2 linked regions of the Oryzias latipes genome follow. The protein of the gene in region 1 interacts with the protein of each later gene in a biochemical or structural test. Links are inferred from orthologs where the notes say so. Each region holds a gene or a part of one and is shown on either strand. Other genes may lie near its edges.

Evidence for each region.
Region 2: the proteins of wee1 (region 1) and pin1 form a complex in vitro, tested with the Homo sapiens proteins (2 studies listed by BioGRID, with this or other methods). The link is inferred for Oryzias latipes from reciprocal best matches to the Homo sapiens genes WEE1 and PIN1.

Annotation. Positions count from the first base shown.
Region 1 is NC_019864.2:7,432,113-7,436,433, reverse strand, and holds the start of wee1 (wee1-like protein kinase), read left to right. Parts: upstream 1-1,434; 5' UTR 1,435-1,894; coding exon 1,895-2,386; intron 2,387-2,668; coding exon 2,669-2,886; intron 2,887-3,139; coding exon 3,140-3,206; intron 3,207-4,321. Other genes in the region: znf143 (zinc finger protein 143), read left to right, coding at 1-27. UniProt on the Homo sapiens protein: Acts as a negative regulator of entry into mitosis (G2 to M transition) by protecting the nucleus from cytoplasmically activated cyclin B1-complexed CDK1 before the onset of mitosis by mediating phosphorylation of CDK1 on 'Tyr-15'.
Region 2 is NC_019859.2:22,494,080-22,498,619, forward strand, and holds the start of pin1 (peptidyl-prolyl cis-trans isomerase NIMA-interacting 1), read right to left. Parts: upstream 3,025-4,540; 5' UTR 2,994-3,024; coding exon of another isoform or gene 2,969-2,993; 5' UTR 2,924-2,968; coding exon 2,866-2,923; intron 1,984-2,865; coding exon 1,901-1,983; intron 1,011-1,900; coding exon 902-1,010; intron 821-901; coding exon 710-820; intron 1-709. Other genes in the region: ubl5 (ubiquitin-like protein 5), read left to right, coding at 2,969-2,993, 3,118-3,221, 3,521-3,582, 4,047-4,130, 4,228-4,265. UniProt on the Homo sapiens protein: Peptidyl-prolyl cis/trans isomerase (PPIase) that binds to and isomerizes specific phosphorylated Ser/Thr-Pro (pSer/Thr-Pro) motifs.

The sequences.
Region 1 (4,321 bases):
GGAGAGTCACCGGGTCTGGATGAATGATGGACTCTGTATTGGACAATTATTTAGAATCTAAACCATGGGAAATGGACTTCGGTGTTGAGAAAAAATCATCAGTTTTCCTCCTTGTTCATTTTTTTCCACAGTTTAACTTAGCTTTTACGTGTACATAGGATTTTTGATAACTGGAGTTTGCCATGCTGTTTTGTTCCTGATCCTTAAAATTAAGTTGATGCAGAAAATGTAAAGAAGGAAAGACACAATAATGCTTTATGTCTATAGTGCACATGCAGTGTACAGGTTTTGCTATTTCCTAAAAAACTTATAAAAGCTTTTTTGTGTCATTGTTGCTTGATTTTCATAGTAGCAAACCTTTGAACAATTGTAATTAGGACTAAAAGTCTCTCAAAAGGTGTCAAATTTTGCAGAAGCTATACCACAATTCAAGCATCAACTTAAAAAAAACTCAAAACATAGAAAATCTTCCTGCACATATTAGGGGTGTAAAGATTAATCAAATTTATTTATATTCCTATGATCTAACCAGATCAATCTGTCTGACGCAAGTTAATCAAATAAACCTGTTATTATAAAATTGTTTCAAAATGAAATGAATTAATTATAATCAATATTGGAAAACATTTGAATTGAGGTTTGGTAGATTTATTTTACTATAACAGAAAAAGACCAAGTACTATCACAACGGACAACACACGTGTCAGTAGAAACGGATCGCTCCATCATTACAATGTGTGGAAACGCGTTGAATTTAGCAAAGTCATGTGACCAAACAGTGTGCTAGAATGTTCTAATGATGTTCCCTTTGGATTATTTGGATGTGGAGAAACAACAGAGGCTGAACTTTAGGAAACTAAAAATTGAATGGATTTGAAATTCATTCTAGTTTACTTGTTTGTTTGACACAATTTAATTTACACTTGATTATCTTGGAAGAAATGCAAGGAATGTGGAAAACTTCACCTGCACTGTTCAGTACCAGGTATTTATCTCTGTTACACTGGTTCTGGTTGAAGTTTTGACTAAACAATCAGTTAATCGAATCAAATTTGATCTTTAAAAACGAATCGGTATAGACTATAAATCAAAACAGCAACCACAACTTGTGATATAAATCAAATTGTTAAAAATGAATCCCCTAACATATTTGTCTGACCAGTTTTTACATACTTTTAAGTTGATAGAATAATGTGGGGATTCAGTCTTTAACTTTTCTAGTGTTTTGATCTCTTTTCGTTAACTTTTGAAAATGAACCCATTGTCTCATAATTACATTAAATGGCTTCCAGTCTAGAAAGTTATGGCAACATGTGGAAGTTGCACGTTCCCGCCAGATTGTCGCACGGCCACCAATGACGTAATCCTCCAGGAACGCCCATGTTTCAAAATTCAACGACGATCCCTGATTGGTTTCCCAGTCACATGTGATCAACGGTCGCGGGAAGTCCTTTGCCACGCGCGTGATGGGAAGAACCTAGTTCTTGACTCATTCAAACTTTTTGTAAACATTACTAAGTTTTTATCGGGGACAGACTGGTTCCTGGGTCAGTGAGTCATCGACTCCAGACGGACGGAGACCGATATTTGCCTGGTACTCAGACGTAGCTTTATTTTTTTTAAAGTTGATGCTAGTTTAAGAAACTGTTTCGGCAGTGCCTTTAAGCTAATCCGTGGCCATCTTTTACTAGCGTGTCGGAATTCGCGAGCACCCAATGAGGGTGATTTTTCTTTTAAAACGTTGTTTTTCGATTCCCTTTCAGCCGATACCTTTGTTTAAAGGTAATTATACATTGGTTTATTGAGCGAAAAACACTGCTATCGTCACATTTTTGGACTAGTCGCGCATTTAGCTGCCCGTGTTGTCGACGAAGCAGGGGTTTAAACTCTGAAAATGTCGACTTGCACTCGAAGACGTCTCGGAACTCCTCCCAAGAGCCTCCACATTCGCCAGAAACTGCAGTTCACATCCAGCGACGGAGAGGAGGATTCTATTGAGGATGTTAACAGCAGCATTGGGGGCGAGTCCGGCTTCACGGACATGGATTCCCCCATGCCAGTCCGACGGGGCGCCGCCGCCGACAAGCTGCGGGGAACTAGCAACAGCAGCCCCCTGAATCACTCTGGAGGGGACGACGACGTGGAGCTGTGGGACGAAGAGAGCCTCGACTCCCCGTCGTCGCACCTGCAGTCACCGAACAGTGTCATTTACACGAACTGCCCATCGCCGAGGAAGAGCCCCAGGTTGTACGGGGGCTCGCCGGAGCATAGCTTCGTCCAGGACGACGGGGAAGGATCCAGCTCTCCCATCCCGGACTGCCCGGACACCCCTCCACACAAAACCTTCCGAAAACTCAGACTTTTTGACACACCGCATACACCAAAGGTCGGTTCTGAGGACATTCTATAATTATGCAAAAGTGTACAGCAAAATAATATATTTTTTTCTTTTGCTTTTGTTTACTTTACTGTTCTCCATGTATACTCGGTGCTGAGTCAGTTAAACTCAGTGACCCAATTATTACACAATGCCTTCTGTAATCAGATCATCCTATATATTACTGAACATGTCCATGTCTTTGCAGGACATTGATTATGTATCATTCATTTTAAATAAAAAAAAAACCTTATTTTTTTTGGAATAACACAGCTCTTTTTTCCTCCACAGAGTTTGCTCTCCAGAGCTCGGGGCTCCGGCTCCCTGTCCTCCAGCAGGAGAATCGCCCTGTTCAAAAAGGTGGAGTCTCCTGGAAAGTCAGCCACAGACAGCACCAGGAGGAGACAGCAGGTTCCCCTGGTGAACTTTAACCCCTTCACCCCAGACTCCCTGCTCATTCAGTCTGCCACACAGCAAAGAAACAACAGAAAAAGAGCGCACTGGAACGAGTACGTTTCTCCCTGCTGCTAATTTTTTATGGATCAAATCTATATTTTATGGTTGTTGACACATATTATTGTAGTGCGGATATTTACTCATTCTTCTTTCCTATACCAGCAACTGTCAAAATGGCTTACAGATTGAAGCATTTGTTTTTTCTGGTAGTCAAACCCTCCTGGTGTTTGCCTGCAGACCTTAAAGCCACAGTGCTGCCCCTGCTGTGCAGAATGCTAACCAACGCTAACTTGTCCCTTCATTTAGCTCTTGCGGAGAAGACATGGAGGCGAGCGACAGTGAAGGAGTGGATGAGATCCTCCCACCATCCAAGGTGATGGAGTATTTTCCTTATCACCATCAAACCACCATTCTTATTGTTTGATCTAAATGATGCCTGAAAGGCTGCTGTGCGGGTGTCTTTTTACGTAATGAATGAGAATTAACTTAACTATGAAGATTTGTCTCTTCCGATGACGGTAGAACATTCAATTTGTTTAGTTTATATATGTAAAACTCAACATTATTCTTACATTGTAGAGCGATTATTACATGACCTAAGTAGTAGTTTTTTTTTTAAACTCCAGTAAATGTATAAAGATTGCGAGTCAGCAATCTTGGATGTCACAGATATCCTCACTGTTATTTTTGGGAACGGATCGCAAACATCAGAGTACAGTATTCAAAACACGGAAAGTATGGCTGAATCCCCAAAATCCCACATTTTCTTTACACCTGTTTTTAGTCAAACCTTTTTATGCTAAGAATTGGTTGAATAGTTTGGGATTAAGCCAGTTTGTTAGTGAAAATGAGTTGAGATTATATATTATACGTAAGTCAAAACCACAGAAACATGTTTAGATGGTGAGTGTGACACGTGCTGCTTCAATTTGAACCTGTCATTCTTAATGAGCTCGTTCTCACCTAAACAACGCAGTGGAGTTGTAATTTGACAGTTTTTAGGATGCAGTCGTCATGCAAAAATCCCACTGCAATGTGGCTTTTTCCATTTGATGACATCATGCTTAAAGAAAGTAACAACACAGTCAAATTGGATGTTACGTAATATACTAGTACCGAGTCATTCTTTAGTATGCCTATTGCATAAACAGGAATTTTCCTGCTGCTGGAATCCATGTACCCAAACAGGAACTTGGATTTGCAATTCACAGGTTAGAATAAACATGGATAAAAGTCATTTGGTATTTGGGAAATACAAGTATCTTTAAATAAAAAATTCTATCTGATTGTTGGGTGGGGCAGCGGTGAATTTTTCGAAAGGGTGTTTTCTGTTAAAGCCCGTCTACAGATATATCTCCTACAAATTCCACAAATGCAGTCCTGCAGCTGATTGCTCAATCTTTCCTCCTGTTGAAAGTGTAGAATGGAGAAGGATCTGTATTGTGTATTTGAATGCAAATGATCCAAAGCCTGTTTACTGAGGGAACC
Region 2 (4,540 bases), on another chromosome or scaffold:
CATACATCAAATTGACCCAGGAACATCATCTCTGTTCCTCACAAATGAACATAACAGGAGGGTTAACAATGTATTTATTTCAATTTATTTCTAATATAAGTCGCTGCGGAGTATAAGTCGCACCCCTTGCCAAACTATGAAAAAAAGGGCGACTTATAGTCCGGAAAATACGGTAGACACATTGTTATGTTTAATAAACTTTACAGTTGTTAGTGCTACTAGTCATTATCTTTTTTTTTTAATCAGGTGGGTGATGAGGTTTGAGTTAAATGTAGATCATGAATGCAAACATGCAGACGTAAGCCAACTTAGACTAAATTGGGTATTTTAGGAAGACTAAAACTAAATTGCATGTTTTCTAATACGTATAATATAAGCATTATGTGTAATTTCTCTTCAGTTTGGCATTTGTGGGTTGATTCAACAGAAAAGACAACCCGTGCCAGAGTAAGTGATAAGAATTGTCCTGGCAAATGCAACAAAGCAATGTTGAGAGACCAACAAATAGACAGAGTAAAAAAGTTTATGAGGCTTTTGCTGGAGAGGAAACCTTATAAACAGAGTTAATTATTAAGCATTTTTTAACTAAAATTAGAAAGCATTTTTACTTAAAAAACTGTAAATATTAGGACAATACTACCTTATAACTACATAAAAGCTGAAGAACTAAAACTAAGAAAACCCAATATTCCCATTATGATGTTGGTACCTCTGGCAAACAGTCCCAGATCTCCACCGTTCTTAGCTGAGCTGCAGTCGCTGAACTGAGAGGCTAGAGATTCAAAAGACTCATGCCCAGATTTGATTTCGTCTATGTACTCTAGAAAACAGAACCAAAAAAAAGACAGATTAAGTAGAGATTTGAAACAGATCTGGTGTTTCTGTCCTCTGCCTTACTTACTCTGAATAAGCTCTATAGCCTCTTCTTTAGTTCGTGTTATATTTTGTTCCCTCCAGGAAGAAGGACGTCGAGACTGATTATGTTTTACTAGGAGGTGGGAGCATCGCACCTGAGAGAGAGAAAGGAGGAAACACAAAAAGATACACAATACATCATCACCTATTTGTTAGAAAGTGTTATAAAATGTTTCTGTGCAGGGGTGTAATGACTAATTGACCTGATCAATCAATCGATTTATATTCCTACGATCCAAGCAGAACAATCTGTCTGAGGCATTTGTTAATTGAATCGATCTATTACATTATAAAACTGTTTCAAATTAAAATAAATATATTATTTCCATATCGGGAAATACCATTTGGCTTAAGGGACGGTTTACTTTACTATAACATAATAACAACCAAGTGTTAGTTAGATTGAACCAATATTGACCATAAAATCGTACTGGAAACCACAAGTGATCATATGAATTAGACCTGCACAACAAAACGCAAATGTATCATTATCGCAATTTCAAGCTGTGCAATTCGCATATTGCAAAAGTCGTCAAAAATAGCAATAAATGTTTACTTTAAATGTGCTAAAACAAATATTGGAGTATTTAACGAATCAAATAAATTGACCAATCAGATGGGGCTCTTTTATTTATTTATTTTGAAGCTTTTCTTAGGTTAGACGTTCGCCTCCTATGTAGACGAGGGTCATTTGGAGTATAATTTAAGTTATGTTGACTCTTATTTAAATTAAACTGTTGCAGTAAAATGGAAATGATGTTTTTAGTCGTTTTGCTATTTGTTCATGAATGTTTTATCGTCGTCGCAATATTGATCACTAATATGGCGAGTTTTCCTCATATGGTGCAGCCCTAATATGAATGTCATTAAAACTAATCATTACCGGTACATCACTATCACAAGCTCTACAAATACTTCTTTAGTGAATTTATTATGATTTCAATCCTAAATGTATTGCTAATAAAACACACAAAATGAAGTCCACCTTATCTGGCTCTCCACGGCCATCTCCCACAGGACGTTCCCACTGGCTGGCATTAGTGATGTGGTTAAAGTAGTACACCTTGCCTACAAACAGCAAAGAAAGCAGTTTGATCAGCACCTTTGGAATGATCCAAGACATTAGAAGACACAAAAATCAAATTACAGTTTACATGACCTTACCCACTAAAACTGCAAAAGCACTCACAATTCCCCGTATCGGTATTATTGTTGTTTCATAGTAGTTGGTCATGAAGTTGCATGGTTTTGAATAAAACCAATGCATCAACTGCTGACAGTGTTCAATTTAGTTTATAGGTCTGCAAAAAGCTGTTCCTTTGCAATCCTTCCTTTTTACTCCATTGAAAAGAAACACACAAATAAAACAGAAAAAAAAACACCTAAAGTTTTTACAAGGCAATCATCTACCCAAACAGATTTTCTGTAAAAGAAGAAGAGAAATCAGATAAACAGACGTATCTGCAGAAATAAATCACATTTTGGGGGGGATCTGAAAGTTTAGTAGATTTCTCAAAGTTAAATAATTACCTATATATGAAAAAAATGTAAAGTGATCTTGTTTACAAAATATTCCCCAAATTGTCAGTTTTACTGTGCGTATATATTCACAAAATACTTTCAAGACATCAGGTCTAAGCTGCGTCTGCGCAAATTCCAGGTGACGTCATGCAACGGCGGCCCTGCAGAACATCTCCATTAGAAAAAAAAGTGGGGGAAAAGCTAGTTATAAAGCAAACCGTAGCATAACCGTATTTTCCCAGCGGCACTTTTCCTGATAGAAACCGTGTCGGTAACCCCGATGCATGCATTAGCAGGACAGCCTCACCTGAAACAAGTTCACAAAGCCTCGCTTACCACGATGCACGGGCTAGCTATAAGCTAAATCAACTTCTCGTGGGCTGCAGTTGAGCTCATACATTCAGCCTCCCCCGTCTTATGTATATTTACCTGAACTACGGCTCATTCTTTTCTCCCATCCCGACGGTAAATTCTCCTCGTCTGCCATGTTATCTGCTGCAACGTTATCAAGTTAGAATTCAACGTTCAAACGATGCGACACGGCTACGGCTCAGCAGGTACGACAGTCGGTTTACGGCAAAAGTTGTTTTCTGAGTTTGGCCCGCCCCCAAACGGCTTGTCCGTCCTACTATTGGTCTTCAACTCTTGTCAATCATATTTCTTACTATCTAATTGGTTAAGAGGACAATAACACGCGACATCGATTCTACGGTGATGAGCACCGAGAGCTTTCCAGAAGGTTTCAACTAGTGAAGAAAATCCATCAATCTTGGGCTACATTTAACGTATGTTTTACACTTTTTGATCTTTTTAACACGTCTGGCAACATTTTTGAAACCTTAAGTTGATCTTAATAGGCGCCATCTAATTTATGTTTTATATATTTAAAAGAGTTGTGTGCACAAGCTAACGGGTTAGCTAAAAAAATCATGGCTGGTCGAATTTCATCGTCAATTTAGTTTCTGCTGTTGACGCAAAATGAATTACACATTCTTTTGACTTAATGTTAGTGGTGTGAACGATTAATGTCGTTCCTGTTCATAACTCCAATATTTCAGCTTACTAGCTCCTCTTTTTTTCACAGTACACGATGATTGAGGTGATTTGCAACGATCGTCTTGGGAAGAAAGTCCGGGTCAAGTGCAAGTATCCTTCTGAACACATTTGATTTGCTGATCTGCTAAAGATGTTTTGGCTGTTAATACTGCACTGCAACATGCTGGTTCTGATTAGTTAAGGGGGGGGGGGGTTACTGTGCTATGGTCCATCCATAGCACAGTAACCGTGCTATGGATGGACCCTTTCCTTATGAACCCATTTGGGGTTCATTAGAATAACCATTTGGGCCTACATTAGAATAACCAGGTAACCTATGAATCATGTATTTTCGACTGTGGGAGGAAGCCGGAGTGCATGGGGTTTCTCTGCAACAAGCAAACTCCACACAGAAGGGTCCCAGCAGGGTTTGGAACCAGGGCCTTCCCCATTGCACCATCATGCAGCTCTATTTAAAATCTAAAGACTGAAAACATTCAGGACATGAAAGCTGGAAGTGTTTGTTTTGAAGGGTTTTCCACGTCACCAAATTGCTCCTCAACATCCTTGCACAGCTCAGAGGACACAATTGGAGACCTGAAGAAACTAATTGCAGCACAGACGGGAACAAGATATGACAAAATTGTACTAAAGAAATGGTAACTTTGCCTTCCTTTGCCTTTTTCTTCTTTGCATCACAATGAACATTGCCCTTTTTGGCTTCTTTACTTAGAAAATGTGTTCTTGTTTTAATAGGTACACCATCTTCAAGGATCACGTGTCTCTCGGTGACTGTATCCTTTTGACGCACTGACTTGACCTTTACTAAGCTGATGCAGAAAGGACCGATTTGCCCTCTAATTTCTTTAGTATTTGAAAACCTAAAAAGCAAGGTCTTAGGCTGGAGCCACACGTGGCTCTTATCACTCTAAATTCTGAAGTTTTGAATAAAATTGAAAAATATTTTTAAGCTTTGTCATTATGTTTGGATTTTTTAACTGAGGTGAGCTAGTATTAGTAAAAAAAATTTTTATATACCACTGTTAACATCCACATTAAATATAAGAGG